Arabidopsis thaliana: one gene and its partner. The protein of the gene in region 1 interacts with the protein of each later gene in a pairwise test. Each region holds a gene or a part of one and is shown in the gene's direction. Other genes may lie near its edges.

Region 1 (15,883 bases):
ATTTCTTGCTTGCGCTCTCGAATTGTGTGAAAAAAATCTGAAATAAAGTTGAGCGCCAAACACGTCGGTGGTCTTTTATACCGGAGAAGTCGATTAATTCGACTAACGGCAAAATTTTGAAATATGCTTCACGCGCTAGAGAATAGCGTGAATCTTACTTGGTTACTAAAAAATATCGTAGGAGTCACGTGGCACAATAAACGGCTGAGATTAAAATCAAACGCAGTGAAACAAAAACAAAAACCCTCGGCCGCATTAGCTTCTTCTTCGTCTTCTTTCTTCTTCACTTCTGCCTCTTAGGGTTAAGCAAGAGAGAAACTAGAGATGAGGTTGATAACGCACAACATGCTTTCCTGCAACATCAAAGGAGTCACCAGTGGATTTCCTCTACGGATCGAAGCTGGGAACGTGATTGAGAAGGAAGTCGATTTCAATCCCGATTTTATCAGGCACATGTTCGCGAAGATTGAGTGGAAAGCTCTGGTGGAAGGTGCGCGTTCCATGGGATACGCTGAGTTACCGGAGGAATCTCCGGACGCCGCGGTGCTGAAATCAGATGAGCCCTTCCTTAAGAAACTCCACCACGCGTTGCTCGAGCTCCACCTTGAGGAAGGCGCGCTTGTTTGCCCTGAGACTGGACGGAAGTTTCCGGTTAATAAAGGAATCCCAAATATGCTTCTCCATGAAGACGAGGTTTAATTGATTGTGAGATTTTTCCTTGTAAGTTTCAATCTATGATGTTTCTGATGATGTGAACCTTTTAGTGAGATATGCAATTGAATGATTCCATTTGAATCATCCATTGTTGTCGTTTTGAATCCTTTAATTGTGTTTTATCAAAGAATGGTGCCTGATTGCAAAAAAGTTTATACCCTGATTTTGAGTATTGTTTCAAGTAGTTGGTCACTGTTCTTTATTATTGGTGCATCTTGTGAATTTGGATTGCATTGTTGGTCTCTCTTAACCCTTCTGCTTATGGGTGATCATGATCCTCTTGCTCATAAAGCACTGAGCTTAGCATCTGAATTTGTCAAATCTCACTACTTACAAAAGATGTGGTTGATATAGTGCAAGCTCGACTTATGGCTCCATATATGCTAGTTTTGAATATGATGGATTCATGATTCTATCCAAAGCCTTGGGTTTCTGTGTGCTGGATGCTTTCATGTCGTGAATGCAGGCAGAACTGATTCAAGGAATAAAACTCTTGTTGATAGTCTTTCAATCTGGATTTACAGAAACTACTTTTTGACTGATATGGATCCTCACTAGATCAATATATCAAATACATTGCACAAAAGAGTTTAACTAAGTCCTCTATCGTTCATGTACTTGCGTTTTAGAACCTACTAATAAGCAGTCTCAACCACAATACATTGATTTTTCCTCTCAGTCTATGTCCTAGCATCTACCTCAGGCTTTCTAGGCTTCATTGTTTGCAATTCTTAGCCTTGCGACTGCAAAGTTTAACATGCACGTCTGCAGTTTTGGTCCCATGGTTAGTTCGTTTATGTGACTTTTGAAAGTTTCGTTTAATACTTGTACTCTTTTAAACACCAAAATTTGATAAACAAGAAGAGCTATATTAATATTAATCAACATTTACTATATTTTCATCAGATTATATGTATAGATTAATTATAATCAGAATTTATCATTACATAGGTGAAGATTATTATCAAACTGTACAACTTTATAGTTTATTATACACGAACCCATTTTTATGATTGAAATGGCGTCCAAAAAAAAGAAACAGGGTCAGATTGAAATGTAGCTCGTTGATAATCAATCGCAGCCGTTGATCATGCCAAGTGGCCCCTGCGATATTCTGAGTCTCTGACATCAGCATACCGTTGGGGGAATGAGTCGCCTTCATCGGTATAAATAACTTTATTTCAGATTTTATGCTCACACAATTTCGAGAGCGCGCGCAAGAAATTGAGAGCGAGAGAGTGTGAGACCAAGAGCGAGGGATTGATTCGTCATTTTTGTAGCTTACTTTCTCGATCTCCGATCTAGAGATGCAGAAGTTAGGGTTTCCGGCGATGAAGAGCTTTGATCAACTCCGATCGTTGCCTGGATCGGCGAAGACGTACTTCTTCTCCACTCGTCCGCCTCAGGATTCCGTCTCCTCCGGAAGTTTCTCGAATTTGAAACTCACAGCAGGTTTTTCTCTTGTTTTATTTCACCGCCTCTCTCAAATCGTACTGTTATGATGATACCGACAATTTCACGTTTGTTGAACAGAGAAACTGGTGAAGGATCAGGCTGCGATGAGAACAGATCTCGAACTGGCGGTAATTTGGAAGCTATCCTGTTTTCTTTATACATTGTTTGTGTTTAGGAACTTAAATTCGATGGATGTGCATGTGAGGTATATTGCTAGGTTTATGTTTATGAATATAGCTTGGATTATCTGCGTATATTGCTAGGTTTATATTGGAACTATAATTTGTGATTGGGAGGTTCAAGCTCTTGGTTTGTTCGTCTGAGGTAATGGCATAGACATATTTGAAAGGAAATTTGCTTTTCCAATGGTGTAGAATTGTAAGCTGAAAAAGTCAATGGAGCATGTCTATGCCTTAGAGGAGAAACTGCAGAGCGCTTTTAATGAGAATGCTAAGCTCAGAGTTAGGCAAAAGGAAGATGAGAAGCTGTGGAGAGGACTGGAATCTAAGTTCTCTTCAACGAAGACTCTGTGTGATCAACTTACTGAGACTCTGCAGCATTTGGCTTCTCAAGTTCAGGATGGTAAGAGTAAATGATCATACAGCCATCTGATTTTTGTGAATTATCTTATATACGCTGTGTTGCTTTATCTGTTTCCTAACTTGCATCTGCAGCTGAGAAGGATAAAGGTTTTTTTGAGACCAAATTCAATACTAGTTCAGAAGCAATAAACTCTTTAAACCAGCAAATGCGAGACATGTCTTTAAGATTAGATGCTGCTAAAGAAGAAATCACAAGCAGTAAGTTGTTGCATTATTCTATGTTTTGACCTGTAACGCAATTGGTATCCAAGTTTGTAACATCTTTGAGTTAAAAATGCAGGAGATAAGGAATTGGAGGAGCTCAAACTCGAGAAACAACACAAGGAAATGTTCTATCAAACTGAACGGTGCGGAACTGCCAGTCTCATTGAGAAGAAAGGTACATTTCTCCTTCGTTTTAAATTTACAATGCCATTGGTCACATGCAGTAAAAAAATGATGGTTGAATTAGTCTTGTTCTAGACTATGATTTCAAGAGCTTGAAAATGTGGCCACGCAGTAGATGGGAAAAAGCAATGTTTCTGAAAGACTTTCATGATATAAAACAATTGTATCTTCTTACTGAGTGCTTCTTCTGTGGCAGATGCTGTGATAACAGAGTTGGAAACAACCGCAGCTGAAAGAAAACTCAAAATTGAAAAATTGAATTCCCAACTGGAAAAGCTACATCTTGAGTTAACAACAAAAGAAGACGAGGTCATACACCTTGTTAGTATCCAGGAGAAGTTGGAGAAAGAAAAGACGAATGTTCAGTTGAGTTCAGATGAACTGTTTGAAAAACTTGTCCGCTCAGAGCAGGAGGTTAAGAAGCTAGATGAATTAGTCCACTATTTGATAGCTGAGCTGACTGAATTAGACAAAAAGAATCTGACCTTCAAGGAAAAGTTTGATAAACTAAGTGGCCTATATGATACCCACTTTATGTTGTTGCGAAAAGACAGAGATCTTGCATCAGATCGTGCTCAGAGATCGTTTGATCAACTCCAGGGCGAGTTATTTAGAGTAGCTGCCGAAAAAGAAGCTCTGGAATCTTCAGGCAATGAGCTAAGTGAAAAAATAGTTGAGCTCCAGAATGATAAGGAATCTTTAATATCTCAACTTTCTGGGGTACGCTGCTCTGCAAGCCAGACCATTGATAAATTGGAGTTTGAAGCAAAAGGACTGGTTTTAAAGAATGCTGAAACAGAATCAGTGATTTCGAAGTTGAAAGAGGAAATAGATACTTTATTGGAAAGTGTAAGGACATCAGAGGATAAGAAGGTATAAAATAATTTTATATCCCTATGCACTGTATCTAATGCATTCTTGTAATACTATATTTTTCTTGTATATATTGCAGAAAGAATTGTCAATAAAGCTTTCATCATTAGAGATTGAAAGCAAAGATAAGTACGAGAAACTGCAGGCAGATGCACAAAGACAAGTTGGGGAACTAGAGACTTTGCAGAAAGAGAGTGAGAGCCATCAGCTGCAGGCAGATTTATTGGCGAAAGAGGTGAACCAGCTCCAAACCATTATAGAGGAGAAAGGGCATCTAATCCTCCAGTGCAATGAGAACGAGAAGAATATAAACCAACAAATCATTAAGGTCTACAAAGTAAATTCTGGGACATAGGTTTAAGGTTTTTTAGTACTCATCAAATATGAATCCTACTGCAGGACAAGGAGCTACTCGCAACTGCTGAAACTAAGCTTGCAGAAGCAAAGAAGCAATATGACCTGATGCTAGAAAGTAAACAGTTGGAATTATCAAGGCACTTAAAAGAATTATCACAGAGGAATGACCAGGTATATCTGTAGCAATGTTTCCATATATTTAGTAGAATAAGAATCGTGAGGCCCTTAGCTGAATCTGAATGCAATATGCAAAGACACTAAAGCAATTAATTTATCTCTCTATGTTGTTTTTAGGCAATTAATGAGATCAGGAGGAAGTATGATGTAGAGAAGCATGAGATTATTAATTCTGAAAAGGACAAGGTATAATGACTACAGTATCTTTCGTTTTAGTCTTCTGAACAATTGATGATGTTTATTGTGGTTCTAACTCCAGGTTGAAAAAATTATCAAAGAGCTGTCCACTAAATATGATAAAGGACTCTCAGATTGCAAAGAAGAATCAAAGAGGCAACTGCTAACCATTCAAGAGGAACATTCTTCTCGGGTATGTTGGAAATGATTTATGAACTTTTTGGACAAGGCTTCTTTGCGAATCTCTAAGCTAAAGCTACCACATCTTATCATGTTACTGCATTCATGCATTGTTCCAATTGTCTGATAGCATCAATAAATTCCAAAATATCTGATGGTTCTGACCATCACCAAATGAGCTTTGAATGAATTAATCAAATCCGAAACGTTCTTGTATTTCTTGTATGCATTATCTGTTTGGAAGTTTATTTCTGACAGCATGGAAGTTAAAATTACTTTGCATATTAACTCAGAAAAGCTGCGTGTTCCCCAGATTCTCAATATTCGGGAGGAGCACGAGAGTAAGGAGCTCAATCTCAAAGCCAAGTATGACCAGGAACTGAGACAAAATCAGATTCAGGCTGAAAATGAACTGAAAGAGGTACACACAGATATAAATTCATAGCTCAAACAGATGAAAGAATAAGGAGCCTCTGGTATTCGAATATTTTGTATATTTATCCAGAGGATAACAGCTCTGAAGAGTGAGCATGATGCTCAGTTGAAAGCATTCAAGTGTCAGTATGAAGATGACTGCAAGAAGCTGCAAGAAGAATTAGATCTTCAAAGGAAAAAAGTAAGTGCTTTTTAAGATCCATTATAAGATGAATCTTTATGAGTTTAACTTATGGGCTAACCTTGCAGGAAGAGAGGCAAAGAGCTTTGGTGCAGTTACAGTGGAAGGTGATGAGTGACAATCCACCTGAGGAGCAAGAAGTAAACTCAAACAAGGTTAGATTGGACTTCATTTTCTTCCTTAATCGTTATCTATACACTTTAAGATATACAACATTCAGTTGACAATGCAAGTTCTCCTTTCTTTATTTTCATAACGTAAACAGGGTAAGAGATTGACATGGTGTTTATTACCTTGTAGGACTATTCACATTCGTCGGTCAAAGTGAAAGAATCTCGTCTTGGTGGTAATAAGAGAAGCGAGCATATAACGGTGAGGACAGAAAATTATGACGAACAGTCAGAGAATCATAAATATCTTCTTCTTCTTTTCGTTTCCGCTTCGTCAAGGCAACACATTAACACTTTCTCATGGATCATCAAACGCAGGAATCTCCTTTTGTAAAGGCAAAAGTAACATCTGTGTCAAATATATTGAAGGAAGCGACAAATCCAAAGCATCATAGCAAGGTAAACATATGAAGCTTTGCATTTTTACATTGAAATCAACCTCATTGTTTGGCTTGTGGTTCAACTTGGCAGGTAACTCATCGTGAGTATGAGGTTGAAACGAATAATGGGAGGATACCTAAACGGAGAAAAACAAGACAGACAACAATGTTTCAGGTCAGCTTGTCCATCCTGCTATATAGACATATTCAAGATATCTAACTTTACATTGTTTGGCAACAGGAGCCACAAAGACGCAGTACTAGGTTGACACCCAAATTGATGACCCCCACAATCATCGCGAAGGTAAAATACAAATACACTACTTTTAACTGATGCTTTGAAATGAACAAACCCTCACATCAGTCAACTAGTGTTGAAGCAGAGAGTAAAAAAGTAGATTTGATGATAGGAGAAAAATCATATTTTCACAAAACGTTTTATATTCATTTCGTCACACCTTCCTTAATAGTAAAATAGATTAACTGACAGACATAATGGAACAATAGGAGGTCAGACTTAGGGCTGCTTAACCAAGCTTTATGTCTATGCGAGTATAATGTAGAAGTTTTCAGGCCAAGAAGTTATGGATGATGCTAGGTTTCTAAAAACATTTCTGATTTAACTGCATATTATTCTGGTCTTTTAAGCGCAGGAAACAGCAATGGCCGATCATCCTCACTCTGCAAATATTGGAGACTTGTTTTCAGAAGGTTCCCTCAACCCATATGCTGATGATCCCTATGCATTTGATTGAAGTCTACCACACAAAGTCAGTTCCCTATCTCTCTCTCACTTTCAGATACATACTATTTGTGAAAGCTTGCTCACCGATTTACATAAACATTTTGCTGCTTGCATCAACTATCTCATTTTTATAACGTGGAATAACTATATCCTAGTGTTTCAAAAACTTGTAAATGTTGTTAAGAGAAATAATCCGCAATCTGTTTCTGATCCAGTAGCTGTCTTCAAAAAACATTGATAAAACCTTTGCATCAATCAAAAGTGTTAAATCTATTTGTCATCTTTATAGCTGTTTCTATATTTGTAGATTTGGTATACGTTGGTGTTATTAGTGGTTCATTTGCTCTTGAGGTTAACAGTTTTCTGTTGAATTATTGGCATCACAGAACACTGATTCCAAGCGGAGTGCTCTCTGAGACCTGAGAAGAATCACAAGGAAGAAAGTGGAAAGCAGTACAAATCATGTAGATCAGAAGCCATTCATATAAGCATAGAATAAAACTATCAGTATTTGTATATATATACAAACTCATACATTGTATCTAGTTTCACATTCTTGTGCTGTTGGGCTCATTAACATACAGTACCAGTACTTTACATAGTAAGAAAATGGGCTCATAAAAGGCCCACAATTGAAAATGAGTACATGATGTTCTACTGTACATGACTAGGGGCCTATGAACCTAATTTAGAGGAACATATCACGGAGGTTTAGACGAACAAGTTTATTATTTTAAGCAACAAATCGTTTGTTTTAGGCTAGCAATCAAAATTGTATGTATAAATAAGGAAGCTAAGGTAGCTAAATTGATGTGTGTTTGATTAAATAAACTAGATTAAGGGTCAAAAAGTCATGAAATGTGTGCGAATCACATTAAATGGAGAAACAAAAAGATGGCTAGTAAACGCGTCGAAGCCTTTGACCCTTTCCACTTTCTTGTCGCATTCGTTGATACTTTGAGATTTCTGGTAATGGGGAAGAGACCTGATATTTTATATTTTACTCAATTAAGCACTTCATAATTGTTCTTGAACTTTTAGTTGTATAAAGAAAATGTAAAAATTACCGCAATCGTTATGCCATCAAATCCAAAATGGATATGTTTTTCTACGAAACTGCTAATTTCATGCATTAATTTGTGTGAAAACGAAACATTCATTTACTTTTTACTTACTCATAATAATCTCTCTAAGCAAAAATGTTTTATATTTTGTAATATTAAATAAAACTCTTGCGGAATACGTCCTAATAAATATCAAAAACCAAAGGATTGTGTTTTATTTTTCTGGATATTTGTATATCAGGAATAAAATATATATGAATTTTCTAAATAGTTTCGCACATTTTTTCATGTCTGAATAGTAAAAACGCATATAAAAAAATAAAATAGGGATTGTTAAGGAGATGACATAAATGTAAAGGAAGAGGAAGTCAACATGCCAAATAGCCAAGACTAAAATTTTTAAATGGCAGCTTTTTTATTTTCTTTGACCAGATCACTCCTTTTTGCTCCATCCCTTTCTCTCTCTCCTTTTCTTCCCCTAATTTATCTTAACCTTCACCCCCAAAATTCCAAAACCTCTCACTTTTATCCCAAAGTTCCTATTGTCATATCTACACCCTCATTTTACTTTAATACAACGCAAATGTATGTTACAAATTCATCACCTAAACAAAACTACAATTTAAAGGTTAAGCAATTATTGTTACCCAAATTAAATAATCGAAATCTATTATAGTCACAATTTAAAATTCATTCATATGAGGCGTAAAGTAAATATTTATATATATGAAGGACGTTGATGCAATATTAAAAAAATACAGATAGCTTTCAATTTTTATTTTTCTTTCAACTGAATAAAAATATATATATATATATATATAATTTCGCGTAGGAAAAAGACATAAACGAAAAGAGAGCGAAGACTTCGTCGCATAGACTTTGTAGATTTATCGTTGAGAGTACCTCAAACAAAAAAAAATTGAAAACCAAATTAGGGTTTTTAATTTCCAGGTAAAAATCCCCTCTTTCTTATCATCTCCCAGCTGCTCAATGAAGATTTTAATTTCGCTTTCTGAATTTATTTTTTCTGCAGATTGTTTTGTTTATTTGAATAAATCTCCGCAAGTTTCAATTAGGTTGCAAAAATCGAAGAAATTTTCTTCGATTCAAAAAAAATGGGAAAATTTTGTTGCTTCACTTCCGCTTCTGAGGTAATGATTATCGAATTTTTGGCTATATAACAATTTCTTTTTTTTTGTTATGAGATGAAATAATTTTGTCTTAGAAGTGAAAGATCTGAGAGCTTTGTGTTTTGATTGATCTTATTGGTGTGGGTTTTTAGGTTGTGGGAGGACAATCATCATCACGATCAGGTAAAGGAAGAAGTGATGAAGGGATGATCAAGTATGGTTTTAGTCTAGTGAAAGGAAAAGCTAACCATCCAATGGAAGATTATCATGTTGCTAACTTTATCAACATCCAAGACCATGAATTGGGTCTTTTTGCTATTTATGATGGTCATATGGGTGATAGTGTCCCTGCTTACTTGCAGAAACGTCTCTTCTCCAATATCCTTAAGGAGGTAAAAACAAAAAAAAAGGTTACTGTTCTACTGTTCTTGGGTTAATGAACATGTGCATAGCTTTAAGTGTATTGTTTTTTTTATGCAGGGAGAGTTTTGGGTTGATCCTCGAAGGTCTATTGCAAAAGCTTATGAGAAGACGGACCAAGCGATTCTATCGAATAGTTCTGACTTGGGTCGTGGTGGTTCTACTGCTGTGACTGCTATATTGATTAATGGGAGAAAGTTGTGGATAGCTAATGTTGGTGATTCACGAGCTGTTCTTTCTCATGGTGGCGCTATAACGCAGATGAGTACAGATCATGAGCCTCGTACTGAAAGGTCGAGTATTGAAGATAGAGGTGGATTTGTATCCAATCTACCAGGTAAAGAACTTATTTTGAGTATTGAATGTTTAATGAAGATAGAATGATTTTGTTGACAAGGAGGATGATGTGGCTGTGATGTTTTAATAACAGGTGATGTTCCTCGGGTGAATGGTCAATTAGCTGTGTCTCGTGCTTTTGGAGATAAGGGACTTAAGACACACTTGAGTTCAGAGCCTGACATAAAAGAAGCTACTGTAGATAGCCAGACAGATGTTCTTCTCTTGGCTAGTGATGGCATCTGGAAGGTAATAATGGCTTGTTCTCTGTATATATTATTCATCTCTTGTTAAATGAGTGTTTTGAGACCATTTTTGTCTGATTGTTTTGTTGTAATGATCATGTTAATAGGTGATGACAAATGAAGAGGCAATGGAGATAGCGAGAAGAGTGAAAGATCCACAGAAAGCGGCAAAGGAATTAACAGCTGAAGCATTGAGAAGAGAGAGTAAAGACGACATATCTTGTGTCGTGGTCCGATTCAGATGACAAACTCTCTGAAAGGATACTTACGGGGAGATGGGTTCCTTATATAATAATTTCAATCAAAGATTCATCAGGACAAAAAAGCTTGTTTTCACTGGATTCGACTCTGATGATTCTGGTTCGGTTTAGGACCGGTCTAAGTTTCAATTTGTGATTAGCTGCTTCTTGCTATAGCTTATGTGCGTTCGTTGTGTAAATTGTGTGTTTTAAAGACGATAAGAAAATGAACAAAAAAGGAGTGGGGAATGGAGTTTTGTGGTGGGTGATGGGGGGTTTTGTTATTATAATTGGTTGATTTGTTATATTTAATCATCGGGATATAAATATTAGGATGTTTTTACAAATATGTGAAAGTACTTTTGGATTAGGTTTGCATATATATATGTTAACCAAAGTGTTTGCTATTTGTAAGAGATTTACATTGCCAAACAAAATAAGCAAAAGTTATCCTTATCATTGTTGTTGGTAAATGTCATTATCCTTGGAAGGATTAAAAATAAGATGGATCAGTTTACTACAATTTGGTTGTGTTTTGTTGTTATAATTCTAAGCAAAGTCTTTCAGAGATTGAGATGTTGCAAATAGTTGCAGAAATTTATCACTGAAAAGGGTTTCATTATTGAAAGACTTAGCTTAGGCGTTGAAAAACTTTCATTGTGTTTTATTTGTGGAACTGTTTGCAACTGCTATAGAGGAAGATGTACCAAGCAATTCTCGAGTTTTCTTCCTCAGTGCTCCAATGGGATTATAGTATTCATTTGGCTATAAAAAGAAAGAATGAAGAAACGTCGGTGACAAGCAATGATTCTTTAGGTATACTCCGACAAACAAAACCCCAAATGGTGTCTTATATTCTGAAATTTCAACACAGGAGAAGCAAGTTAAGTGTAAAACAGATTCCAACCCATCTTGACTCAGGATATGCATCAAGAGTCGTTTCTTTTCTCGCATAGGATTCAAGATTCAGTTCTGCAATGGTATAGTAACTCCATTAGCAATGCCAAAATGAAAAATATAATCTTCAAGTAGCTTAAATTTTGACATAACTGGCTTTTTCATACCTTTTTCTTGGGGCTCATCACCACTTTTGGATAAGAGGAAACAAAAAAAAAGTTGAGTGTATGATTTGGAAGAGAACAAGAAACTAGTATGCTAATTGGTTTCTTGCAACAAAATTTGCTTGAATTCAACAACTTGGCGTTTAAGCAATGAAAGATCCACAAAGCCGTAAATATGTTCCCAAGCATTAACATTCGAATCAAAGTTTAGGCTCCTCATAACAGTACAAGAACTAACAAAATTTCACAAAAATGGCTTATATTGATTCCAAAGGAAACTATCTATCTATCATCAGAGGAGGCAGATAGGGAAATAAAAAGATTACCTCCTCTCTTTCTGTGAGGTCTAAAGTCCACATGTTGAGATTGTCTCTGAGTAGCTGTATAATAAGAGTCATGTCCTTGTTTGATTCATCACTTACTGTCAAATTCATTAATTGCATCATCGAACGCTTGCTTTGCCAATTGGTATGCACTGTACAACACACAGTTTCACTGATTCAGACTGTTAGTAAGTAACACCACACCGATTTCATTAAATAATCATATGTATGCATGTAAGCAAAGGAACCTTTCAGGAGAGTTTAAGAAAACAGAAGTCCAATTCAAAGTCATGTATAGCTGGAACTGTTGGTACCAAACCAGTCTCTGCAGCAGTAACAACAACCAACATTGCCATTACCAAAACACAAAACATATTGTTCAGTTTATTTTGTTCCGAGCTCAAGGCACAAAAACAAACATGAGCCAAGGACCTTATATGCATCAAGAGACTGATCAGTAGCTTCCTTGCTTTCAGCATTAGAACTGAAGTCTGCCAGCCTGGAAAGAACATAAAGTATAGCCAAAACAGTGCAACACTTTTGCGCCTCAAGCACCACAACAACACATTTTCGCTCACATATTGTAGAAAAGAACAGAGGAGTCCACAGTGGTAGACGATGGAATGAGTTGCTTATTGATGACGGACAGGATGTCATTACAAATTTTGGCAAGCTCATCTTCAACCTTGTTTCGATAATTCTTAAGCTTCTTGACATTTTCCTCATTTCCTTTTGACTCTTCCTTTTGCACAATGGATGATAGTATTTCCAATGAAGCTCTCCTTGCGCTAATCACATTCTTGTACCCCACTGATACAAGATTTCTCTCCTTTGCTGATAGCTCCGCTTTAAGCTGAACACTTTTCTTCATCGCTTTCTTTATCTCTTCAAATGTTTCTGCAACAAAACATTTGGAGTATTGAGTAATGTGAAGGCATGTTAAGATTCAAGAAGTTGTTCTGGAAAAAAAGTACCATTGTAGCGCTCGCTTGACGAAGAGAGACTCGCGAAGTGAACGTGCGTTGATTGTTCATTCTCCATGGCTTTTCTTCTTTTTCTCTCTTAAACAATAGATGCTTGGAGAAGAAGAAACTGTAATCTGTATTTCTTGCTCAAGACTTTTCGATTTCACTCATCATTTTAAAGAATAGAAAAGTAAATGAGCTAATGACAAGTGTCCTATTGGCGCTGGATCCAATAGCATCAAATCTGTTTTGAAGGTTTCAGGTTGATTTGGTGAGAGTTGGCAAAGATCGTCACCATGATCCTCTGTTTATTAGTCAAACCTAATATTTGAAGGTGTTGTCTCTTTGCTTTTGACAGTTGTAGCATTTGTTGTGCTAGCAACAACTCACCTAAAGAATTTAGAAGTTGGGCCAAGTGAATACTTGAATTGATCATTTGTAGCTCAAAATTGAAGTTTTCGATAGATGTATGAAATTATTATTCATTGGACATATAAAAATATTAAAGAAAACACTACAAAATCTCTCGAGGGAAGTGGTCAATTCGTGACAAAAATGTTATTTAGATGGTTGACAAAAAGATATCTGATTCTATAAGGATTAACTGGTTCACAGTTTGATTAACATGTTTTAGACTTTGAGGGCTCTCGATTGGATTAGACACAATGAGTGTTGGTACGAGTTAGAGAGTTTGTGATAGCATTTGGTTACAATTACAACTTACAAGAGTCCCATATTTAGAGCATAGAGATCCTTTTTGAGGGTCATGTTGGGAGAACCAAACCATTATTATGTCACACACTTACGGACCAAACCACCGTAGAGAAACACACTTGAGGATGATTCCTTGGCCACAAAGAGGGCAAACATCCACAAATTGAAAAGTTGTGAAGTTTGGGATCACTTATGCAAATTATTAAGAGCCTCTTGAATTCAGACTTTCATGATTTTTGCAAGGAGTTATTAGTTATTACAAACTTCGAATAAAGCTTTGTCTGTTTTGGTTTTTAATTTTGAGACCATGATACGCCTAATATTCTGATAAACAAAAACCCAAATCATGCCTGCTGGCTCAATTCAACAACAAAAGAAGCAAACTAAGCGTAAAACAGAATTCAACCACATCATAAGAGGGTTGAAGATACGCAACGCAGTGTTGTGTTGTGAAAAGTTCAAGAATCTGGAAAACACCATCAAGAAAGACATAGATTAAAAATTACACATTCGAGTAACAAACAACGACACTTACTGTCTTCACTTCAAGATTCAGGATGCAGCAAGAGTCGTTTCTCTTCTCACAGAGGATTTAGTTCTGCAATGATTCAGTAATTCCATGAGTGGTCTAATTGTCAATGCAAAATGGAAAAATCAGTAAGTAGCTTAACTTATAACAAAACTGGCTTTTCATACCTCATCTTGAGGCTCATCAGCACCTTTGGTTCTCTCATCTAAGAGGGGAAAAAAAAAAGGTGAGTGAAAAAGCTTTGGAAGAGAAACAAGAAACTAGTAATGTTTTCTGCTACAAACATATAACTTTTACAAGATTAGCTAGAATCCAATAACTATGAGATGGTAGATTGGTATGTTTTTTGTTGAGGCTTTCAAAACTAAAATGAAAGATCTACATAGCAATACATGCATAAAGGACGGTTTAATTCAAATATAGACAGATGGTTAATGGTTACGAGTTCCCAAACATCAACATTTTTACTCCAAGGTAACGCTCTTAACAGCTCATTTGATTCTAAGGAAACCATTTGATCATGAGATAGGGAAACAAAAGAAAATAAGAATACCTCCTTCCTCATTAAGGTCTGAAGTCCACAAGGTGAGATTGTCTCTAAGTAGCTGCATAATAAGAGTGCTGTCTTTGTATGATTCCTCGTTGAGGCTGTCAAGTTCAGCAATTGCATCATCGAATGCTTGCTTAGCCAATTGGCATGCGCTGTACAATACATAGTTTCATAGTGTCAGAAAATGACCACAGATTCCACTATTATGTTCAATCCAAAATACAAAAACAAACCTTTCGGGAGAGTTCAAGATCTCATAGTAGAAAACTGAAAAGTTCAACGCCAAGCCAAGTCTAACTGGATGTGTGGGTGCCAAACCATTCTCTGCAGCAGCAACAGCAGCCTACATTCCCAGTACGAAAAAAGCAAGACTTGTCTTAGGTTATTCCCAGCTCAAATATAAGAGGGGTGGCACAAAAATAAGAAAACAAATAAACATGATCAAAGGACCTTATATGCTTCAAGAGACTGATCTGCAGCTTCCTTGCGTTCAGCACCAGAACTGAACTCCGCAAGATAGCGATAGTAATCTCCTTTCCTACATAGAAAGAAAAAAAAACACGTAAAGTCAAAACAGTGAAACAAGGAAAAGTTCATGAATCATCATCATTTCAGGAAGAACACAAGCAAGAGTGGTAGCTATGTAATAACTTAAACATTTAACTTTAGTCAAACGGAAATGATCTCATTCTTAGTCACACAAATATCACATGAATGGTCAGAGTATAATAAAGATGACACTCACATTTTGTAGAAAAAGACAGTTGACTCCACAGCGTTAGACGATGGAATGAGATGCTTATCAATGACAGACAAGATGTCATTACAAACTTTAGCAAGCTCATCTTCAACTCTCTTACGATAATTCTTAAGCCTCTTGACATTTTCATCATTTCCCTTGGACTCTTCCTTCTGCTCAATGGAAGATAGTATTCTCCATGATGCTCTCCTTGCACCAATCACATTCTTGTACCCTACAGATACAAGATTCCTCTCTTCCACAGTTAGCTCCACATCAAGCTGAGCAACTTTCTTCATCGCCTCCACCATTTCTGCATCATCACCAACAAAAAAAAAATATCCGATCTTTGAATTTGCTTCCAAAAACGTAGATCTATTTCATTTTCATGCTAAGAGATTCGACAACAGTAAGTATAAAATTATATCAAGATAAGATCAAGAGTGATCAGAGTATCTAAACAACATTAAACAAGAAATTACTTAAAGGTCGCATCTAAAAGTCCAGATCAAGTAACAGCCCAGAAACATACAAATCGGTAAAGGGCTACAAAGAAAATCTATGGAAATGTAAAAACAATTTCGATCGGAGCAATAAAAGATCGGATTTTTTCAGAAACATGAACAAATCATTTTCTGAATAGAGATCCAGAAATCGGAAAATACCATCGTATCTTTCGGTTTGCTCGGAGAGCTTAGCCAAGTAAACCTGCTTTTCCCTCTCATTCTCCATAGT
Region 2 (15,936 bases), on another chromosome or scaffold:
ACGAGCCTCTTAAAAGTCAACTCCTCACGTAATCCCGTGCACCGCGTCACACCTGATTACAGGTTCTCTTCTTAATTATTTTCTCTTAATCGTTTTTATTATTAAACCCGCGAAGAACTAAAACATATCTCAGACCAATAAAACTAAGGAAAATCAAATTCTCAGACAACTTTTTTCGAAGAAGACGACGAATTTTAAAGATTTTGTTTTCTATATTCTCTTCTGGTAATCTTTTTGTTTGTTTCTTTTTTTTGTCATCCATATTTGATCTTTCTTTGTTGCTGATTATCAACTTTTCTTTTACTAGCTGATTTTTCCTTTTTCAAAACTAAGCAAGTTTGTGTTCACGTCTTCATCAATGACATAATTGCCCTTAGTTTATTCCACATAGTTGTCATACAAATTACTTTCGTTTCTATGTGTTTTATATTCACAATCATAGATGAAGTTCATAACTTAGATGTTAAAGAAAAAAACAGAGTTCATAACTTGTGATTTTGTGCTTTGTCTTATTTGTTAGATTACGGGTACGTAATTTCTTACGAAAGAAGGCTCTCTTTAATAAGATAAATTCATTTTTCTCTCATCTTTTGAGTTAATACTTCTTGACCTGATTTGAGTTTGGTCGTTAGGTTTTTCTTGATTTCGGTTCAAGTTTTCTCTTAGCTCTGAATTATATGTACCGTGTAAGAAAGTGAATTATATGTACCGTGTAAGAAAGTGAAATTTTCGGTTCAAGAAGTGAAATTTTCTTTAAGTTGTGTTTTTTTTTTCACTTATGAAGTCATATGATAATTTGATATGAATCTTAAAAAGCTTTTTTTTTTATGACATGATGCAGATAGTGAAGTCTCGGAGACTGAATGATATTGTTTCTGGTCAACTTAACCAATTTCAGAACATGGCAAACAGAGCAGACAACTCAATGCGTTGGTTTGTGACTTTTACAAGATTATTGAATCCTTGAGTTCATTGTGAAAGAGATGATGATTACTGATTCCTAGTGTTCTGTTTTTATTTTTGTGCAGTTCAAATAGTAAGAAACCGAATGACGGTATGATGCTCGTAATATCGATTTTCGCGGGAATAGTTATCGGATTTTTATTAGGCATATCTTTCCCTACATTGTCACTAACTAAGGTAACACTTTTAAAATTTTACTTTTTTTCAAGAAATAATGTTTTGGTGTGATTTTGTAAAAGATGTGTTTATATATTTTCAGATGAATTTTCCATCAAGCATTCTTCCTTCTGTTGCTACTGTCTACATAGAAAATGAGAAACCGGAGAAATCATCTAAGACGAGTTCACAAAACGAAAGTGATGCATCACATCATCATAAGGCATGTTTTTGTTTCTCCCTTGTGAACATTACTCATCTTTAGTGAATTTAGTTACAAGATTTGTTTGGATATTCTGCAGATTTGGGTTCCATCGAATCCTCGAGGTGCAGAGATGTTACCTCCAAGTTTTGTTGCAGCCGAATCGGATTTTTACTTACGAAGATTGTGGGGATTGCCTAAAGATGTAATAACATCTCTAGGTTTTTGTTAATGATCTTTCAAACATCTTAATCATTGACTTGATCTCTAAATCATGTTTTTTTTCTTTAGGATTTACCAGTGGTGAAGCCTAAGTATCTTGTTGCTTTTACTGTTTCTTATGAACAAAGAAAAAACATCGATGCTTGTGTCAAAAAAGTATGTCTCTAGTTTTTGTTCTCTTTCCCCTTTGCTTCTAATCTTTCACTCTTATTAAACTAATATCTTTTACTCTCTCAATAGTTCTCAGATAACTTCACCATTGTTCTGTTTCATTACGATGGAAAAACCTCGGAGTATGATGAATTTGAATGGTCTAAACGGGCGATACACGTCAGTGTACCTAAGCAAACCAAGTGGTAACAAAACAAACACTTTTTTTTTATCTCTCAGTTTCCATTGATCTAAAGCTTTAAATAAAACGTTTTGAATATGTTTCTATTGAAGGTGGTATGCTAAAAGGTTTCTGCATCCTGATATCATAGCACCATATGAATATATATTCATTTGGGATGAAGATCTTGGCGTTGAAAACTTCGACGCAGAAGAGTAAGTACTCTGCTTCTTTTGATAATATAATCAGAAACTGTTATGAAATGTTTTCTACATTATTGCAGGTACATCAAGATTGTGAATAAGCATGGTCTAGAAATATCGCAACCCGCTGTGGAATCAAGAAAATCAATCACATGGAAGATAACAAAGAGAATACCCGGAATCGAAGTTCACAAGTAAAACAATTAACTCTTGATATAAACTGTACAATGCCATGGTTTAAGTAAAGTAAAGATAGTGATTCTTTTTCAAATTCTTTGATCAGAGAAGTCGAAGAGAAACCAGGCCGCTGCAATGACCCTCACCTACCTCCTTGTGCAGGGTATGGATCTCATTTGTCAAAACCAATACAATAAGTATTCATACTCTCTTGATCCATTAAGTTTTGCACGGTTCCTTATCAGGTTTATAGAGATTATGGCTCCAGTTTTCTCTAGAGAGGCATGGCGTTGTGTGTGGCATATGATTCAGAATGACTTGGTTCACGGTTGGGGTCTTGACTTTGCGCTAAGAAAATGCGTCGAGGTTAACATACAAATACAACTTATTCACAAACGCGTATAATTTTACAAAACGTTTTCGAAACTAAGAAGAAACACTTTTTAATGATTCAATAAACAGCCTGCACATGAGAAGATTGGTGTTGTGGATTCTCAATGGATCATTCATCAAAAGATTCCTTCTTTAGGCAGCCAGGTTATTAAATGATCAAACTTTATCTTCCTATACTCAACTACATTATTTACTAGCTTCTTTGTTCATAGTTTTAACTATGAGATGATCTCTCAAATACATTGATCAGGGAACCGCGCAGGAAGGGAAAACCGCGTTCCAAGGGGTAAAACAACTCAACCGCGGCTATTGTCTTGTGTTATATACTTAGAAGGTTCTTGAACTTAGCGGGTTCTAGACCGAGTATATTGTTAATTACTGAATTATATACATGTTTTGATCAGGTAAGAGAGAGATGTAAACGGGAATGGACAATGTTTCAGAAAAGAATGACCCGATCAGAGCAGAAGTATCTGAAAGAAATTGCATCTGCCTCTTCAAACTCTACACGTACTTAAACCAAAAGAGTAGAGGAACTGAATAACAACCTTTAGTGTTCAGATAGCACTTTCAGTAAGAAAAAAAGAGAAATAGAATGTTGATATGATAAGCACATAAGCAAGCATACACACACAAGACACATTCTTTGAAAAGAGCAATATAGCTCTGTTCTAGAAACAGTTATACTGTAGTAACAAAACAGTTAATAAAGTTCTTAATAAACTCTTCATTTCTATAATATACAATTGTCAATACTAATCTGTGTTCATTTCAGATTGTGGCAAAATAATTTGAGAAATTGTAGTATGCTCTCATTACAATACATTATGTTTCTTGGTTCAAAGAAATGACCAAACCTCACTCTTATCATAATGAGTAATGACTATAAGCTTTCATCTTGAATATAAACTCGTTGATACGCCGTGCAATGCCATCCTGCATCAGCCAAGATATCATCAGATAGATAGTGGGTAATGAGCATAACGTGTTTTACCCATCTGAAACCTGTGCACGGAAGCTCTCCAGCTCTTGTTATCAAGAAGGAACTCAAACGAATAAAGACTGTTCTTGAGCCGTAGATGAGGGATCTGCGTAATCTCATTGCACCATCTCAAAAGGTTTACAGTATGTCTACTCGGGATCTCATCAACATCAGACATTATCAACAAATCAGCAAGGACAAATGTCGGAACAATCACTAACAAGAACACATAAGACTCCATATCTACACCACGTAGAACACAACAAAGCCTATAGATACTGAAAACTGTACCAGAATCCTACAAAAGTCCTAAAACCCTAAACAGAAGCTAGGAACTTGCTCTTGAATCGAGCTTAGCTTCTCAAAATTCGAGTGAAAGATTAAAACTTTAAAGAAGGGTACACGAAAACAAGCAGATCGGAGAATCAAACCCTGGCCGGATATATCATCCATCAGTCTTCTTAAAACACTAGTGAGTAGTGTCCGTCGTCTTCTTCCTTCAACAGTTCATCCACCACATTTCCGTAAACCAGATAATTTGGGCTTGACTTATATAAGGCCCATTAACCGCCAAGTCAAAGACTCCAACGACGATGACCATGGCTTCATGGGCTTGTTTATGCAATGAAAGATTGACATCAATCAGATAGCACAGGGCAAGACAACCGTTACAAAAAAAAAACTACGATTCAAACATGAACAAACTCATGAATCGCTGGTTGAGTTTTAATATATATATATGCTTAACAAATAAAAAATCAGGAAAATGAAAATTTGATGTAGATGTTCGATTACAAGTTTATTTCAATGGAACTTATTTATTACTTTTTCAAAAATAATACTTTGTCTTTTCTGTTATGTCTAGGACCTCCGTAATATACAATATTATTGACATGTATATCTGAATATATATTTATTTTTTTTGTTAATAAATATTTTATTGCATCATTTCAAACATATAATAATTTTATGAAGTAATAGTGAAACAACATATCTAACAAAATCCTAAAAGTTAAAATTTATTATATATACAAGAAAAAATTATATAAAATTAAACAGTTTGGATTCTCTTTCGATTTTAATCTTTGATCCAATTATCTTTTTTTATTTAATTATAGAGAATCTTAACATACAGCCTAAATCAAAAGATTTCAAAAAAATTAAATCATTTTTTTCAGTTTCAAATATTTTATAGGTGGAACGTATTTTTATACGAAATAAACGTAAATTTAAATAAAACGAAAACTTTAGTTACATATTTTCTTGTATACAAACATATATGATATCTCATATAATAATTTTATACATAATAATTTATTTCAATCATTTTATCCCGCACATTATACAGGTTCTTATCTAGTCTATTATATATAAATGAAAACAATTTAATAAATATATAGGATGATGGTGATGGTGGTTGTGATGATGGTGGTGGTTGTGATATTGATTAAGCTTTAAGGACGTGGTCCTCCATATCAATAACCATACTCTTGAGGAGTTGCATGTAGCTGCTTGGTTCGGGGAAATCATCGTTGCGCTTCTCCCATATCATAGTGATTTTGCAGACGCAATCTTCTTCAGAGTTGGGAATAAATTGGAAGTCAATCTCATACACCTTGAACTGCTCCATCACGTGACCTTCCAATCCTACAACCTTCACTATCTTATTGTCATCGTCTATCTCTCTCCTCTCCTTGAATACCTCCTCCTTTCCATCTTTACATACATGTAAATCATTATTTTTTTCTTTTTTTTTGTTAAAGCGTGTAAATTAAATTATTGTCATATTTATATAAGACTATCTACAATGGCTTATTGAAAAAATTTATTCAATAGTTGAATGCTTACAGTGGGGTATTGAATAAAGAAATGAATCATATGTAGATTAAATGGTGTTGAATCGATTCAACAATGTTGAATCTTTAAAAATGGACCCTTTATTACCACTTGTTATTAAATAATTGGAGACAGAAATTGTGGGGGAGAGTTAAATAAAGATAGGACATGTTCTTTTATTTGCTACTGAAATTTCTTATATTTTCTTTTCCTCTGAATTATTGGAGGTCAATTATCTTATAAAATATTTATTTGTTTTAAATTATTTTTACACTAAAATTCATCATTTTTTAAACTCTATAAATAGAGATTTGTTTCATTTGATTTGAACATAGAAAAAAATACATCTATTTTCACTAAAAAATTTTCATTAGCCGCTAAACTCGTATCTATATCTTTTTTTGCTTTTTCCAGTGAAATGGATCCCAATAATAACTCATTTAACCCCTAAAATTTCATTACTTATCCATTTAAAACATAAAAGAAAAGAAAAATAATGAAATAAAAATTTGTGGGGTAGGGTGTTGAATTTTATTAAACAAACCATTGTAGAGTATAAAATTTGAGTAGGTATTGAATTATTATGTGAAAGAGAGAGAAAATGATGTGGAAGGGAAAGAAGCTTATGTGGAGGGTGTTGAATGGAAAAACCATTGTTGATAGCCTAAGTAAATGATGCAATAAATTTCCAACATGTCAATAGTTAGACTTCTCAGGCCACCTCCATGGGCTAGGTTCTAAAGAAAATCTCACCTATTTAGAAAAAAGAAAAAGAGAGGAGAGAAACACATAAAAAGAAAAGATCTCAACAAGAAACTTGTAGAATTTGATGAGAAAAGGTATGGATACATGTCCTTCACTTAATGATAGATTTTTTGTTTAAAGTAAAATTTTAAATACATACCTAAATTGATTGACCATAAAAAAAAATACAGACCTAAATTATGTTTAAAATATTACTAAGAAATCCAAATTGGTATCTTAACACTGATGGAGATGGCCTCATAAGGATGAATATGCATGATATTATGATCACATATATATTTTTTTGCAAATTAATGTTGGGTATCAACCCATGCCCCATACTCAAAGTTTAGATAATTGTCTAATATATAAAGAAAGGTATACCTCCGAGTGTGTAGTTCCAAATCTTGATGCCTCCTTGAGTGTCCCATTCGCCATCGTGAACAGTAACACTTTGGATGTGGTGGCCGATAGTGTCAGGGAAGAGATAGTTCTCGTTCCTGTACCTCTTGAAGTGTTTCTCCACCGTTCCTTTTAACGGCACCTGCGTCACGTATGTTCCCGACGTCGCCATTTCTCTCTCTCTTTTTTAATTTTGTTTAAAAGCTTCCACTCGTGTTTCTTCTTTTGTTTTGTTTTGGTTGATGAAATAACACTTGTTGCCTTGGTTTATATAGAGAAGATGACGCTTAAGAATACTGTTTCTTTTAATCATGCTAGAAACTTCTCTTCTTCATTTTTCAACCTAAAGTATTTAGTGAGCATTAATTTTACAAATTATAAAATAAAATATTAGAGCATTACATTATTGGGTCATAGAAATTTATTTTCTTTATTTGATAAAATAATTCCGGACCACGTTATTAATGTGTACAGTTGGTCCATCATCCTTCTAGTTCAGAAAAATTAAGTTTTTTTTTTTTTTTGGTATGAATGTAAAATTATATTTTACCCCAAAAAACAGTTTTACAATAAATACGACATGAAAATAAAAGAATTTGAGAAGTTTTGTTATATATTACAAATATTTCAGTTCCCTTCAATTGGTAAGCTTTAGATCATCTTGAAACCGTAAAATTTAGTCTCCAAGTGTATCTTGAATGGAAAAGATGTCAACATCTAAAGGTATATGCTACAGAAAGTAACTCCACAAGACCCATTTTCTTATATATTGATTTAAGAAACCACATGGTACGTATATAGTATTCCGAAAGGAAACACACTTTATTATATATAATTGAAAATATAGCATTCCGAAAGGAAACACACTTTATTAGATATAATTGAAAACAACTTAATAAACATATAGGGATGATGGTGATGTTGATTAAGCTTTAAGGACGTGGTCCTCCATATCAATAACCATGCTCTTGAGGAGTTGCATGTAGCTGCTTGGTTCGGGGAAATCATCGTTGCGCTTCTCCCATATCATAGTGATTTTGCAGATGCAATCTTCTTCAGACTTGGGAATAAATTGGAAATCGATCTCATACACCTTGAGCTGCTCCATCACGTGACCTTCCAGTCCTACAACCTTCATTGTGTTATTCTCATCGTCCATCTCTCTCCTCTCCTTGAATTCCTCTTGCTTTCCATCTTTACATTCATGTGTACGTATCAGTCAAATTATATTTGGGTCATATTCATATGTAATGATGCAAATAATTTCCAACGTATAATAAAGGTATATACCTCCCAATGTGTAGTTCCAAATCTTGATGCTTCCGTGAGTGTCCCATTCGCCGTCGTGAACAGAAACACCTTGGATGTGGTGGCCAACAGCGTCAGGGAAGAGATGGTTCTCGTTCCTCCACCTCTGGAAGTGTTTCTCTGCTGTTCCTTTTAACGGTACCTCCGTCACGTATGTTCCCGACGTCGCCATTTCGCTCTCTCCCTCTCTTGTTTAAAAGTTTCCACTCGTGTTTTTGTTTTGGTTGCTGAAATAACACTTGTTGGTTTATATAGATCAGAAGCTGACGCTTTCAAATATGGTTTCTACCGTTTCTTTTAATCATTAAAATAAAATATAAGAGCATTAGTGGATCATAGAAATGTATTTTCTTGATTTGGTAAACGAATCCGCGACCACGTTATTAATGTGTATAGTTGGTCCATCATCCTTTACAAGATAATCAATCATACGCGAAACACACTAATCGTGAGGACAATTATCGCGTATATGTTTACTAAATTTTATCCAATCATTAATCGCAACTGCGACTTGTAGTCGGTACTGAATTGTGATGTTGTGTCATATTTGTATAGTGATTGATAAATATTAATATATAATCGTCGTGTCATAAGTAACCTGAATCCATAGATTTGATAGTGTGACTGTGCTTGCGTGTGGAAGTTATACTTATACATGAAAATATGTATAAATTAAAATCACATATTTTTATTAATTTAGAGATTTGAGGTAGAACGAAAAGATTAATTTATTTTTGCATTTTATGGATCGATATTAAAAGTTTTGAATGGTAAGTCAGATTTTTGGTAGTCCAAAATGTGTGACAGATAAACTGTTTTTAATTTTTAATAAGCAAAAAAATAAAAATCAGGCGGCTAACTGCATACAATTTTTGTTTTATTGCTTTTTTAGTAATAAAAGTAGATTAACTGCGTACAGTTCTTTCTCATACGTTAATGTGAGTGGTCCAACGGCAGTCCATAATTTTGTAATAAATAAAAAAAACAAAAGGTAAAATAAAATATTAACCTTTTATTCTATAAAAGCACAATTCTTTTTTTGTATTTTGTACCATCACACACACTACAAAAAATGTAAATATCTCTCTCATTTTTTTTTAACGTTGCTTTTTAAGCTTATTATCCAATATTCTGATATTGCCTTAAAGAGCAGGATTGAAAAATATATGATAAGTTTTCGTCGTTTTATAATTTGTTTATATTTAATAGTATACAACTGGTATTGTAATTCATTGACGTTAATTTTGCTTAAGTTTTTGAACTTTTTAGAATCTATAACAATATGGTCATGTTTATGTTTTTGCTTAAGTTTTAAAGAAAAAAAGTAAAAAATAAAAAGGAATCTATAAGATTTGCTTGTAACCACAAACTCAGCAGTAATATGTACATACACCAATCAAACGATTTAATATGATCATATTACGTCAGTGTATATGTCAGTAATTTGACTCTAAGAAACCTTAATTAAAAATTTGTAAACAAGACAATATGCCAAAATAAAATATACGTCTACCTTCTCATTAATTTCCTTGTTTCTTCTTCATTGAACTCTTGAACAAATATTATATGGAGATGTCACTTGTCACTTCGAGTTGCTAGGAAACTTCCACCGGTGAATTCCTCCTCTATACAGATTAATTAGTTCATATCCCCTTGTCTCTCAGCTCTCTATCTCCACACTTTTTCTCTTTAACATATCCTTTACTAAATGGCCGTCACTGATTATTTCGCCGGTGAGATAGCGACGGAGCTTTTGAAGCAGCTCTTTCTGATATCTGCGAGAGCAGGCCGGTACAAAAACACAGCCGACAACCTCAGCACCTTGATCGAGAACATTCAACCGACGATCAAAGAGATCCAGTACAGTGGAGTTGAGCTGCCTGCTCACCGCCAGGCTCAAATCCGTATACTCTTTGAGTCTCTAGAGAAGGGCAAGAAACTCATGGACAAATTCTTAACATGCAATCGTTGGAATATGATTCGACAGTTATATCTCATGAAGAAAATGGAGAAGCTAGAGAAGACCCTCTCTGATTTCTTTAGGGCTTCCATTTTGACACACATCCTTGCCGATCTTCATCTTCTCCGGGCCAATTCTGATGAACGTTCCCATGAGGTCTATCTATCTTTGTTTTCTTCTCTCTCCCTTGTGATTTCTTGTTCACCAAGTTTGAAGGCCATCTCTATAATACTCGTTTCTTTTGCAGCACGTCACATCAACCAAAGGGTGTGACTACGACGGACTTGGCTCAATTCAGTACCAGCACATCCAGCCTAACCTAGACATGGATATGCGGGTCACCATTTTGGAGGCTGAATTCCGCACCTTCTCCAACAACGTCATCAACAACATGCTTGCGATGAAGCGAGCGCAAGATGTCTTACTACGAGCCAACGGCTTTGACCCCGAGACCCTCCTACCGATGATGTCTCCTCCTGCAGCCTCCATGAATCCTCCTGCTTGACCACATACGACTTAGGATACTTGCAACCCACTCAACCTTGCGGACTACGATCTTTAAAACACAAATTGCTTTCGATTTATGTTTTTCAATTTGTTAAATTATGTTTCAGTCACAATTTTAAATATAATTTATCGTCCACTACTCTGTTTTAGCTTCTTCTTTTTCCATACGTTACAATTGACCTTACTTTTTTACGTATTAAAGAGAGAATTGGTTTATACACCTCAAATCAGCAGGTTCTACATGATGAATGAAGCCCTTTTAATATCAAAACAACCCTTTTAGTAGCTGAAGGAATCAGATTGTATCTCTAACAAAAAGGCTACCAACAAAATGATGTTATCCAAGTTGGGTTCCAAAATATGGGGTCTCTCAAGAGCTATGTCTTTCAGGTTGTCTATCTGCTCTCTCACACACCTCTTTCTGCATCCGGGAACTGAAGAACGAAGCGCACAAGTCGGGGAAAGGCGGGAAATTGAGTGTTGATCCACAAAACATTGTTTCCCAAGGTTTCTCTGACATCAATGCTTTCTTCCTAGATCTCTTCTTCTTTTTGCTTATTGCTGCAAGAAAAACTTCATAATCTATGGCGCTAGTCTCGAGTTTTTCATCGCTATAAGGATCAAATAGAACATATTCATGGCTCCTGTTTACATACGCGAGAAGCGGCTGAGACTTTTTACCATCTTCCACAAATGAAAGTGTTCCTCCTCTGGCCTGCAATAAACATTGTAATCAAGTCTCTTAACGGCAATGAGAGAACTTTGATTAATCCTTCCTTAGAGTATATACCTTCATTACAGTCCAAATAGCTACTGGTTTAGGGCCTGACCCATCAAACAAGAGGATAGCACCATCTTTCCCGCGGAATATCTGTTCGTTAGATTTTACCAACCTATCAGATTCTGGAAGCCATGTTAAAACTGCAAAGTATGGTGAGTCCACTTCAGTAGCAATGGCTGCAAATAAACAGGAAAAATGAAATATACTTAGACAACCAAAAAAATCAAGATTTCATGATCAAAAAGATAAATAATAAACCTTCTATGTATAATCTATATGACCATGATAAGCAGAACGTCATCAGATCCCAGACAGATAAGTGCGGTGTGGAACCATGGGATGCAGCAATAAGGAAGCCTCCTCCAGTGAATGAGAGTTCCATAATTGGCTGAAACATTTACATATCATTTAAGATTTCAACAATGACTGTAACTAATGAACATGGAATTGCTTTTGTGTGTTATACAAGTCTTACCGCATTTGCCTTTCCAACTACATACAGGAGTTCGTTCTTTAACGGGTGCCAGATCGTAATAACTGTTTTAGCCGCAAGAGCCAGACAAGAACCATCCCCGGAAAAAACAGCAGCTGTTATTGGCGTTCTCCTGAAAAATATTACATCAATTTCATTTGACATCACAACGACTAAGTAATGAGAGATGTTAAAAGGTTCCTAATCTTTTACTTATAAGAGCCAACTCCATGACAAATCCAGTTTGAGTCCTCAGGTGTCAGATTCTTGTCGCTACTGCAAACCCAAATCTTGACAGACATAAAGTCATATCAGTAACACAAAAGGTCAAACGATATTCCAAGGAAATGATCCATTTTTCACTACTCTGTAATCCTACCTTGAAGTCCCCAGCAGAAGATATACTAACAGCCATGGAACGGGCGGGGTTAAGGGCAATGGCTGTAATTGCAGCTTCCCTGTGAGAATACAGAAGGATCAAAAGTTACACTCACGATGAGAATCAAGGAGTTTAAAAGTTTATAAGAACATTGAAGTAAAAACCTGTGAGGTTGATTTATGACTGTCGATAAGCTGAAAGTTTTGCTGTCCGGTACAAATACCCAAAACTTGAGAGAAACTATGCCTTCACTGAAATTGCTTGCAGCAAATCTGGCCTCAGCTGTAGTCATTACTGAGCCATTCCGAGAGAGAGCAACCGCAGTCACGAGAACCTATTTTCCATAATTCTTCAAATTATTACAAAACAGAAAGAGAGCGGATCTTTTACTAGTAACAACTATGTCATCTTACAGAGAAGAAACAAAATGTACTAACCCGGACTTGATCATCATCGTCTGGATGATGATCGCAAATTTGAACCTGCATATGTTAGGTTTGTTAAATAGTAAAATCATACAACTATCAGATACAAAACTCAATAAGCCTTTTGGGAAGCTAACCTCTGAAATGTCATGGTCACTTAAAAGGTTGTAGAGTTGAACACGATGATTCGCTGTGCAGAAAGCAGCTATACCGGAAGAACGATCAATGGATACAGTTCTGGTGAGGCATATATCCCGCGTTTTGACGTAGCATATAAACCCGTGACGCTCTGGTGTCGGAGGCTATTACATAGTAAAGAACACAATATGCATGTGAAGTTAACTCCAACAGAAACGGTATACAATATGAGCATGCTTAAACCAACAATAACAAGGAAAAATTTCGGATGATAGTAAGAACGAACCTTGATTCCAGATATCGTTCTCAATATCTCCATGGAAGGCATTTTAAGAAGATGAATTTGATTATCTGCACAAATCACCTGAAAATTCTTGATCTTAGTAGAGTTAATGAAACACTTCATTTGCTTTCTACGGTTGTTGTAAACGGAAAAACTCTTACAGAAGAAAGAGTTGAATCTGAAGAGAAGATGAAATACAACAAGGGAGATCCAATCTTTGGCAAAAGTTGCTTCTTCCCTGTACCTAGCTCCCAAACAACAAAATCACCTGCCTTTACCCCTAAAAGAGTCACAAGCAAAGGAAATATAGCATAAGAACTCAATATATATATATATAAGAAACATGAATTCCTTATCAACACACAGAGATACAGTCACTATGATGAAAAAATAACTCAGACTCACCAGAATACAAAAGTGCTCCATCTGAAGAGAAATTAAGGACGGTTACTTCAGCGCTGTGCCAGTTGAAAGTAGTGCAAGATTCAGTATCATCTTCAGTTTTCACTGAAGTAAATTCTCCAATACCATTATCCTTCCAAATTAACACTCTTCCTGTTACATCACCGGCTGCTAATATTCTCTGATTGGGATGGAAAGCAAAAACAGTAATCAACTCTGTATGATGTAATGTCGTCTCCTTTGGCATGAGGTGCTCTGATGCCACATTCCATATATGTATACTGCAGTTATGACAGACGCCGAAAAACTCTCCAGAGGGACTTAAAACAATAGGTTTTGGTTCTTCCATCTGCACATTAACAAAAATGATTATAGAATCAAACATGAGGCTAATCGAAAAATGGTTAATCCACAAATCTGACCTCTTTCAAAGTGTCTCCACTATGAAGAGGGTCTTGAGTGAGATCATATCTCCGGATTTGTCCAAACAAATCTTTGGACACACTTGAATAGTCCTCAACCGAAACATAAGCAATCACGGAATGTGACACTTGAGCTGGAATCATCACCTACAAAGTCCCAACAGACACTTAGAAAAGGGCAATTGAAAGTTATCAAATTTTTGTTTATAAGCTGCAAAGTATGGAACTTTAACAGACCAGAGAGTGAATTGGAAGGTGGGTATCAAATATCTTCAAAAGCTTCGGCGCAGAGAACTCCCAAATCCGAATTTTCCCATCGAGCGACGAAGTCCAACAGTAACTGACGGTTTCGTCGGAAGACGGATCAACAATCACAGACGTCACAGGCGCTGTATGATCCTCGAGTGAAGTAATCTTAAAAACACACACACGCATACGCTAATGAGAGAAGAAGATTAGAGGGAAACCCTAAAAGGAAGGATGCTCGAGTCGAGAGATAAAACCTTTAAGCCAGTGGCGACGCTGTAAACAGAGACGGTGTTGGCTGTGCATAAAAGAAGCTTCTTTGCGTCTTTCGAAAACGCCGGAGCGGAAGTAATGTTGTTTCTTCCGCCGCGAATCATTTTCCTTCAACTCACGGAGATTCTGAGAAGACGCAAACATCTTACTCGGCGATTAAAAATTAGATTTTGCGACGTTTTTCCGACGAAATATTACAATGTACCCAGTTTTCGAGGAAATTATGTCTGTGACCAAATTGCGACTAGTACTTAGTACTATATGCTTGTACTTGTAGTTTCACTTTCTTCGTAACACCTGGCTCTGTGATGACTCCTCTCATTCTCTTCCTCCATGTTTGGGTTTCGCTTCTTGGACTAGGCCTTGACCTTGTTGGGCCTCGGCCTGTTTGTTTATTTTTTCTGTTTTATCTTTAATAAAATGAGACGGCAAGAAAATAACTTACATAATTTTTCAAGATCTTAAGTATTTTGTATTTTCTTAATTTATGTGAAAAACCCTGTGGATAAACAAAATATAATGTATAGTCCAATAATTGGAAATTTTGTAGTTAACAAACTCACTTCGTTTTAACAAAATATGGATGGATGATTCAGAGGCATAGTATGCGACATTAACTGTATTACAATGGTCGACAATGACTTTGATTTTTGAGGTCGTCCAATAAATACTAAAATGTATGGGTATGATTTTAGGTTGACCAATAAACTTCGATATCCATCGTTAATTCCATGAATGTTTTAAAAAACTGAAGTTGCTTCTATTATATATAAGTTAATCTATTTTATAATTTTATTTTATGACAGTTTAGCTATAATTTCTTTTCAAAAACATTTATGTTCTTAATTTATCAATCTATCACTTTCCTCGTCAACATATTACTTTTTTTATAAATCTTTTGCATATGACTAGCTTATCGGAAAATCGTTCATATAGATAGCGACATAACTAAAATAAAATTAGAAAGATGATATTGTTTTGATATAGTGTTTGTTTGTCTTGTTTCAAAAGACTATGCAATCAACTAGTTGTGCGTCTTGTGGATCTAACAGTTTTAAAAATGTTTAGGGTCAATAGTTTAATCAGACTTGGAACGGTAGTTTATACCTTTAGATACAATATTATCTAAGGTTAATTTATGTCATGGAAAAGTTATATATAGACAAAATGTTCAAAAAATTTAGGATTTATTGTGAAAAAACGAGAAATGGTAGATGATTCATATACATATCAACTTATTCCAAAGTAAAAAGTTTAAGAAATAAGAAAAATAAAAATTGTAGCGTAACAAACATTGACATATGGCTCGTTGGAAACAAACTAAATGTAATAATTATAGTTGTTCATCAAACTATTCGCATACAACCATCATGAACGATGACTAAAAATGGGAGACAAAGTGGGACTTTTGTAAATCCTACGTTTAATGAATTAGAATGTTGAATTATTTTTTCAGATTTTTATACATATGAATTGTTGCTTTCAGTGTTCTCTTAACCAATGAAAGTAAAGATGCTCAAAGGCTAAATATAAAGAAGATAAATTTCATTTCTCTTGATTATTCTCTTTAGGGTTTAAGATTACATCATGTTTCCTTTCATAGGCATTATAATCTTAGTGACACTAGGGTTTTCACTGACACATGTCAGGTCTCTATTGATCCTAGACAGTCAAAACAGTTTTGTAAAACCACTCCTTCTTTTCCAGCACAGCTCCTTGTTTTTGTCCT

What was found.
Region 2: the proteins of PAPP2C (region 1) and AT3G26470 interact in a two-hybrid assay, tested with the Arabidopsis thaliana proteins (one study listed by BioGRID).

The regions. Positions count from the first base shown.
Region 1 is NC_003070.9:7,865,224-7,881,106, forward strand, and holds PAPP2C (phytochrome-associated protein phosphatase type 2C), read left to right. Parts: upstream 1-8,643; 5' UTR 8,644-8,848; intron 8,849-8,930; 5' UTR 8,931-9,012; coding exon 9,013-9,048; intron 9,049-9,179; coding exon 9,180-9,437; intron 9,438-9,507; coding exon 9,508-9,784; coding exon of another isoform or gene 9,785-9,831; exon of another isoform or gene 9,832-9,877; coding exon 9,878-10,032; intron 10,033-10,135; coding exon 10,136-10,273; 3' UTR 10,274-10,608; downstream 10,609-15,883. Other genes in the region: AT1G22270 (Trm112p-like protein), read left to right, coding at 325-699; ZYP1b (Myosin heavy chain-related protein), read left to right, coding at 2,022-2,166, 2,248-2,297, 2,544-2,751, 2,844-2,969, 3,052-3,150, 3,355-4,031, 4,111-4,359, 4,431-4,559 and 10 more; AT1G22290 (14-3-3 family protein), read right to left, coding at 11,607-11,674, 11,751-11,803, 11,900-11,976, 12,084-12,150, 12,230-12,548, 12,626-12,692; GRF10 (general regulatory factor 10), read right to left, coding at 13,923-13,928, 14,027-14,064, 14,413-14,561, 14,643-14,752, 14,860-14,947, 15,155-15,461, 15,814-15,880. UniProt on the Arabidopsis thaliana protein: Involved in the regulation of phytochrome signaling. May regulate phytochrome-interacting factor 3 (PIF3) through the dephosphorylation of phytochrome.
Region 2 is NC_003074.8:9,676,517-9,692,452, forward strand, and holds AT3G26470 (Powdery mildew resistance protein, RPW8 domain-containing protein), read left to right. Parts: upstream 1-9,415; 5' UTR 9,416-9,627; coding exon 9,628-10,035; intron 10,036-10,126; coding exon 10,127-10,384; 3' UTR 10,385-10,756; coding exon of another isoform or gene 10,757-11,101; 3' UTR 11,102-11,126; downstream 11,127-15,936. Other genes in the region: AT3G26440 (transmembrane protein, putative (DUF707)), read left to right, coding at 704-712, 842-933, 1,029-1,140, 1,223-1,342, 1,422-1,526, 1,613-1,699, 1,784-1,899, 1,988-2,089 and 6 more; AT3G26445 (beta-1,4-N-acetylglucosaminyltransferase family protein), read right to left, coding at 3,604-3,927, 4,198-4,230; AT3G26450 (Polyketide cyclase/dehydrase and lipid transport superfamily protein), read right to left, coding at 5,077-5,345, 6,594-6,783; AT3G26460 (Polyketide cyclase/dehydrase and lipid transport superfamily protein), read right to left, coding at 7,537-7,805, 7,902-8,091; AT3G26480 (Transducin family protein / WD-40 repeat family protein), read right to left, coding at 10,757-11,101, 11,177-11,343, 11,426-11,555, 11,643-11,772, 11,853-11,929, 12,019-12,097, 12,183-12,352, 12,456-12,500 and 7 more.